2 linked regions of the Lepisosteus oculatus genome follow. The protein of the gene in region 2 binds, or shares a complex with, the protein of the main gene of each other region. Links are inferred from orthologs where the notes say so. Each region holds a gene or a part of one and is shown on either strand. Other genes may lie near its edges.

Evidence for each region.
Region 1: odad3 (region 2) and clxn share a complex: the UniProt entries of both Homo sapiens proteins name them as parts of the outer dynein arm-docking complex. The link is inferred for Lepisosteus oculatus from reciprocal best matches to the Homo sapiens genes ODAD3 and CLXN.

What each region holds. Positions count from the first base shown.
Region 1 is NC_090705.1:5,005,832-5,009,755, reverse strand, and holds the start of clxn (calaxin), read right to left. Parts: upstream 3,089-3,924; 5' UTR 3,027-3,088; coding exon 2,951-3,026; intron 1,402-2,950; coding exon 1,246-1,401; intron 813-1,245; coding exon 708-812; intron 1-707. UniProt on the Homo sapiens protein: Component of the outer dynein arm-docking complex (ODA-DC) that mediates outer dynein arms (ODA) binding onto the doublet microtubule. Seems to regulate the assembly of both ODAs and their axonemal docking complex onto ciliary microtubules.
Region 2 is NC_090706.1:17,752,635-17,756,558, forward strand, and holds the start of odad3 (coiled-coil domain-containing protein 151), read right to left. Parts: upstream 2,634-3,924; 5' UTR 2,094-2,633; coding exon 2,009-2,093; intron 691-2,008; coding exon 569-690; intron 1-568. UniProt on the Homo sapiens protein: Component of the outer dynein arm-docking complex (ODA-DC) that mediates outer dynein arms (ODA) binding onto the doublet microtubule. Involved in mediating assembly of both ODAs and their axonemal docking complex onto ciliary microtubules.

The sequences.
Region 1 (3,924 bases), on a different chromosome or scaffold from region 2:
GTACAGAGCAAACTGCATTGAATTGCATTTTAAAATCAGGAACGAGGCACTTCTTTAGTCAAAGCGTTGTGGGAGTATGGAACCGGTTACTCAGCCTTATTGTTGAGACCGATACCCTGATGTCTTCCAAGAAATAGCTGGATGAGATCCTTGGACCAGTTAACTACTAACCACCAAATGGGCTGGATGACTGAATGATCTCTTGATTGTAACTTGGAAAGCACTGAGACTACAGCATCATGTTAATCTGGCTGTCACGATAAGCAATGTTATCATTTATAAAAAAAAAACATTTGGGGCGAATGAACATACTCTTATTTTCCCTACCATACTTTCACCCCTGGGTTCTGGTAGGAGGTGTCGCAGTATCAGAACACTGACCAATAGATTCAAAAACGGTTTCTTCCCCCAAGCTGTCCGCATCATAAACAGCTCAAATTAGCACCTGCATTTCAAGCTACTGCACTGTTTTTGCACTATGTTCTGTCTTGGCTGTATTATAACGTCTATTGTCTAGTTGATTGTCCATGTCTGTTTGTCATTTGTGCCTATTTTTTTTTTATTTCTCTACTGTTACTGGGTACATCTGAACAAGTAAGCATTCCAATACTTGATTCAAGATTCTTGAATCTTGAAATATATTCTATTCAGAATCAACATGGAGGCTATCTTAAAAGTATAGGTGAACAGACAACATACTCGCATACATTTTATCTTTTCATCCAAGGTCCCACGCAGAAACACAGACAGTCCCTCCACCCATTCTTTTATGCTGATGTAACTGTCGTTGTCCTTGTCAAAGGCACGAAAGACTAAATTCAAAATTAAAAACAATTTTCACATTGTAAGCGAAACATGCTGAACACCATAGAAAATGTTGACTTTGACCTATCTAATTCTTTCTAAAAGTAACCCATCTGTTAAAATGTTAATACAGAATGTTAAGCCATTTTTGGAAAAAAAAAAAACAGACTCTCATACACCCATCTACAGACGATGCAGATATTGAAAACCTTAAAGATCATTTTGTACTGTTGCCTGAGAAATGGGCTCTCAACAGAGATTTTCTTCCTTAGTACATGTATGTCATCTACGAATTTATTTTTACAATAAAAAAAAAAAAACAAACCACAAGAGCATCCTCTTTTGCTAATAACTATTGGAGGGGGGAAAAAAAGGATGGTTTTAAAAAATATTCTTACGGTAAACCTCTTTCATGTGTGCGACCAGCAGCTGGAAGCTCACCTCTGTCCATAATCATGTCGTCCGTCATTCCAAATGTGTTGTGCAGCACGTTCCTGAAGCGTCCCCGGTCCAGGCCACTTCCTGCCCGCCTGTCGCTCTGCTCCCCCAGCAGCGCGTTGAACAGCGTGATCAAACTTTCTGTCTCGTTCCTGTCGACTGGGCGCAGCATGTTGGAAGACAAGACAGATCGGCTCTAGCCCATGATGATGGATTTGTATAGTAATACAGCTTATTGTACATGATGAAAATAGAAGCATCCCCATATCAGACAAAATTCAATGCGAGTTATTGTGCTGTTTAGACAGTGATATATTACAAAACATTGCAGAAGCTTGAAAGAAAAAGGAAAATTGAGAAGGGATGATGATTTGAACTCCTACTTCTATGTATGAGTTATTTGAAGACTTCACATTGGTAATTCCCAATGGAATTTATCACTTTGGTAAATAAGAATTAGCTGAAGAAAAAAATTCTGATGGACCCACTTTTCAATCAATCACTAATTAATTTGTAAAGTTCCACTGAAGGCATTATTATAAGCAGGAAATAATCCATCCATCCTTTTCTAACCACTATTTGAGGGCAGTGGCTCTGTGGCTAAGGATCTGTGCCTGTGGCTGGAAGGTTGCCAGTTCAAATCCTGTGGCTGGCAGAGGAATCCTACTCTGTTGCTCAGGGGGAAAGGCCCTTAACCCCAACTGCTCCAGGGTTGCTTTATAAATGGCTGACCCTGCGCTCTGACCCCAAGCTTCTCTCTCCCCGCCTGTGTGTCTCATGGAGAGCAAGTTGGGGTATATGAAAAGACAAATTCCAAATACAAGAAATTGTATATTGGTAATAAAGTGATCTTATCTTATTTCCAATTCAGGGTCACGGGAGAGCCGGAGCCTATTGTTGCAAGCAACGGGCACAAGGCAGGCGACGCCCTGGTCAGGACGCCAGTCCATCGCAAGGCATGCACACACACACACACTAGGGTAAGTTTTCCCAGAAGCCAATTCACTTACCAGTATGTCTTTGGACTGTGGAAGGAAACCCACAAAAACACACTAACTCCTCGAAAATAGCACCCCAGCTCCGGCATTGAACCTGCGACATAACACTAACCACTGTGCCACCCTCATCAGGGAATAATTACAGTTGTTATACGGCCGACGCTTTTAACCTTTTAATCTGTATTTGTATCAGTTTTAACAGTTCGGTATTTTTAGTGGGGAAATTGAACTTCAATTTGAAGTGAGGATCAACAGCCGTGTCTCGTCTGGCACTGGAACCCACGATCGATCTTGTTAATTACAAGTTCAAACGCCTGACTTCTGGTCCCATGATGTAAAGTACACATGAAGTTTGAGTCGAATAAGACGTTATGAATCATTCGTGTTCTCCTCTTACATATAAAAACATACAAGCTCCGCTGGTTGAGCTTCTGGGAAAGTTTATCTAGACTAACTCTGAGGTTAATTAACTTTCTCCATCGCCGTTCACGTTTAAAATGGATACTGCAAACTGGCTATTCAACAGAAAATCTAAGGCATATTTATGAAAGTCGCTCTTCTTGTCATAATCAAAGAGCACGTTACTCACGGAAACAAGGTGCAATTCACGAAATAGTATCTATTTCTTTCAATATCAAAGAGATACACAGCACTTCCTTAGAGCTGAGTTCAATGGCACACGAACAAGGTACTGCGTGTACTGTACTTACAGTGTTTCACTTGTCTAGACAGGGATTCTGCAAGTTTTTGTATATTTTTTCTGTTCATCGCCGACATTTCCGACATTTTCGCGATTTTTTTCCCCCGATTTCGACGTCTTTAACAAGAAAAGTAGGACGGTAGAAAACACAGACCTGGCGTCAACCCTAGTCCTGTTGGGACGGCTGTTGCTATGGAAACGCCAATCCGCTTTGAGAACGAGCCGTCGGTGCGCAGCGGAGCTCCTGCCTGTGACGTCACTTCATACAGGGATTGCAAGACTGAAAAAAGCACTTTTCAATGGCATTTCAAAGGAGAGAAACATCCTTCTCGACTCTAGGTCAGTTATTTCAATTTTCTTTTAAAACGTCGTACGGACTTTGCAATTGGTATCAACCTGTTTCCAGTTCTTAATTTCAGAACCTCCCTCATTCAGGTGCATTATCAGTCCTATCAGTCTCCGCTCGTTATTAATGGATCACCCGTTGAGAGCTTTTTAGACAGAAATAAGAGACACATTCGTTAGTAGAAAGCTGAGGAGGAACTGTCTAAAGTTTTTTTGTGTTGAAGTTATTAGCAAAATACTCAAGGGTAGTTTGAAACCTATAAGTGCAGAAAAGTTCAAATAAATTAGGACCCGAAATGAAGAGCCCAGTTTGAACGAGAAACAGCAGGTACATTAATAGCCCAGGACCAAGACGGAGGCTCACTGCTCTAGGTACTGCATCGCGAGGATAGATGGCTTAATTAACACAAGTGCTGCTAATCACTTCGGTAAATAAGAATTAGCTGGAGAAAAAAATCCTGATGGACCCACTTTTCAACCAATCACTCTGATTTGCAAGTAACAGCGAATGATATGATACAGTGGCTTGGAGAGAGGAAGGAGCGCTGTTTCTTGCATTCTTGTACTGTAGTCTACAGCAAACAGAGTATTACTCCCCCTTGTGGGCATAATCATTTACTGCTTATTCCGATTAAAACT
Region 2 (3,924 bases):
AAGTTAGAAACTGTGTTATATCTCCTCTTCCATCATCCCCTCAATCCAGTATTCCCAATTACTGTTTCACCGGGTTCTCAGCTTCACATGGGCCTTGTTCAGAAATGCAGCTCTCTGCCAAATTCACTGAAAAATTATCTTTTTAACTGCCCTTCAAAAAATGGACCATGAGCTAGGAAACCACCCTATGCATCGCTGTCATTTGAACCTGACTTAAACCAAGTTCACAAAATAAAACTTCCTTTAAAACAATTAATTAAAGGGGGGTTGATGAACCCCAAGCTGGAACTTGAGAAGTAGATGTTTTGGAAGTATAAACTTGGTCTTCCAAAGAGATCCCAGCCTAGACTCCGACTGTCCCTGGTCTTCCAAGGCCCCAGTGTGCAAAGTTTATTAGCCCCAAGTCTAGATTTGTGAAGCACAGAACCAGAATGCGGATGTAAAATGATCCAATCTCTATTCCTGCCTCACATGAACTAGTCGGCAGGACCATTGTAGCACAGACACATGATGTCTGTTTGTGCTGCGAGGCAAGAGGCCAATGGCTTCTTATCCTAAACCATCTTACTGCTAAGGCTTCAGCCAACTTCTTATGTAGCCTCTTGTTCTCCTGACGGAGCTGCAGGATGGCTTCCTTGTTCTTCTTGATGGTCCACTGGGAGCTCTCATAGTAAGCGCTTCTGTCCCCCTCTGCGAGTCAGAAATGTCATACGTTAGACTCTCCACTCTTCCTCAATATCAAAACCATAAAAAAATCTACTGTAACACATACTGTTGCAGTAAATCACCACCAGGCTCTTTTGTGCTTTTATTAGAGCTATGCAGAATGGTTTTCCCCGCACAACGTGCTTTAAAAATGCAGTGTAGCTAGCAGACGTGTGGCAGCTTAGACACCGAAGTAGCTGGTATGAGAACAGAAACCACCTGTGTGGTTTTGGATGTTTCCACCATCCCCACCCCCACGGATGAACACGCATTGTACAGGCAATGCTGGAGAACAGAAAACAGTCAGCACCGATAAGATGCTGAGAAATAATGACTCTTCTGGGGTACAGAGAAATCGCGGAACGCTGATATTGTCAGGAGAGCGCAGATATTACAATAACCCGCCGGCATCTCGAACGCACAGGTGGTTGATTCATAATAAGATGTGCAAGGCGTCCTTCCCCAGAGCTGTCAAGTTGGTGATGCCCCCACTCCCTCCCATCATACTATGATCTCTCCTAACTTCTTCCTGTACCCACAAGGACTGTACTCCAACACCACTACACAACTATAGTTGTAATATTTATTAATCAAAAGTATTTTTGCACTGTTCCCCGAATTACCTTGCACTGTTTTTGTCCTGTTATATTTTCTCTGTTTGCGGATTTTGCACAGTTTTGATTACGTTATGGTAGTACACGTTACTGTTATTGTTATTGTGTTAGTCTATTGTCTTATCTTTTGTCCTGTTTATATACTGCACCTGACCGACTAATGAGAAACACTTTTCATTATACTATGCACCTGTGTAAGTATAATGACAATAAAGTTGAATTGAATTGAGTCTGGTGCGCAAATCTCCCACTTTCTGCGCGGCCCCCACCCAGCGTTAGCTGCAATGTTTTAGTTTAGTCATGCCCTATAAACTTTGAAGGCTCGTCCTTCCAAGCGACTGATATGGTCCACGTTTTATCATGACAAGTTCTTGCCAACTCTAACACTATCCTTACATAATCTACTATTTATGTACTACTTACTGTACAGTACGACTGTACAGTAAAAGTCGAGATAAAGCGCCTACAAAATCAACTTTAACTCACACCTTTGTTAAATTACGCGAAAGTTGCCGATTTTAAGTTAACACGTTTCTTTAAAATTGTATTTTATGCACCGTGGTGCGTACAATTAATTTAAACCAGACGAACTCAAGTTTCTAGCTAAGGGACTTTAAGGGACGCGTTTAACTGCTTCACTCAGATGACAGGCTAATATCAGTCCAACGTTAATGAAAAGAAATACCTACCAAGAAGCTGAATTTTCCTTTGGAGCTCCGATATCTGCTCGTGTAGAGGAGGCTTAATTGCGTCAGTATTAAACGAGAGAGGCATGTTTACCAGGTGCGCCTTGAATGTGAAAAAGATAATGTGAATAACCCTATGCCTGACGCCGATAACGTCGACCTAGCACCCAGAGCTTTCGGGTGCCACCGTTATTTCAGTGTGCTGCGCTGGCGCCGAGTTTCGGTAAAATGAATTTTTCCTCTTGTAAGGACTCGGGCCTTCTTCACACAGCTACCTAGGCTGGAGCTGTGAAACACTAGGAGCTTGTCTGGGTGCCCAGCAACAGCCATCCATCTCCATGGCCACAGTGGGAGATAAACAAATCACGTTGCCAGGAAAAAGTTCCACCGCAATGCATGCTGGGCGTTGTAGTTGAAGACGATCATGGCCGTGCACACTACTATCTCCTACACCGAGCATCTTTCAAAATACACCTCATTGCACTGCCATGATTCGCATCGCTGGTTCTTACTATCAGTGTTTCTAAGTCTCCTTACGTTACAACAGCTACCTATCTTGGAGAACTTCGTAATTGGAGCAGTTTCTTCCCGTTTGCATAACATTTCAACAACCTGCAGCTGGATTCCCTGCTCCCTGCGTTCAAAAGATTTAAACTTTAAATGTAACGTCATTAAAAGTTACAATACCCTTTAATGGATATTGTATCCTGCTGGATACAGACATTTTGACCAGCTGTGGGAGGGGCTAGGAACATGTGTTTTTTTATCCAATTAAAACATACGAGGGAGTCATGTGTTAAGGACTTAGGTCATGTGATTTCATCTGAGCATTCTGGGATAGACTTGTCACTCCTTTCTGAATCTGTTGTGATGGAAGATGGAGAAGGCTTCACTGACCATATGGTGAGTACCTGTATTTATTTTATACATAACACAAATTTTGGGGGGACATTTTTATAAGCTATTCATTTTTAAGCATGATATGACATGTTAATATGAAAAAAAAATGTGAATTATATTTGTACTGTTCTCCAAATCTGACATTAAATATCTGTATCCCCTGGGATACGTTGCCTAAATGGGGGTGTAAAACAGTCATTAATAGCACTATGTGTGCCTGTTCTTTTAAAGGCCATAAGTATTAGATATTAAATAACAACAACTGAAATGCTTTCATCACATAAAGGTGCTAACTATTACTATTTACTAACTATTTCAGGGAATTTCCACAAAGATATTTTATAGTAGGCCTAGGAGAGGGATTCAGCCACCTGTTGGCTCTTCAGATTCAGAGCAAGGGACAAGTGAGGAAGATGATGAAGCCTATGTAGATGCAGAAGGCCGAAGAGAAGATAGCAGCATTAGCAGTGAGGATAGCAGTAGTGACTGTAGCTGTAATGTTGAGGCAGCAGAAGGACACCTGTCCATACAAATTAAGAAATGTAGGTGATGTAAACCATTAAATAGGATATTGTTGATAAAGTAACACTATATACTGTGTGTTCATGTGGGTGTGTGCACTTACTGTACATGAATGTATGCATGTGGACTAGAACCCAGACAAAAATATTATGTCCAAGACTGCTAACTGACCATGAGAATGTGTACATGGAAGTAATACATGTTATTTATAGAATGTATAGTGAGCAAAAAAGGGGAGTGTGAGTGGTTTCCAATAAACCATTATATATTTCATTCCTTTCTAGGTGGAAAAAAAAAACGATTTTGAACACCAGTCAGCTGCAACACCAACATATTTCATGGCACAAGATGGAATCTTTTCTCCACCAACCTATTTTTCCAAATTCTTTAATAATGCGATTTTTGAGCTAATTGCTGATCAGACCAATCTGTACTCATGCCAACTGATTGGTGGAAGCATAAACACCAACATCAGTGAAATCAAAGCATTCATAGGT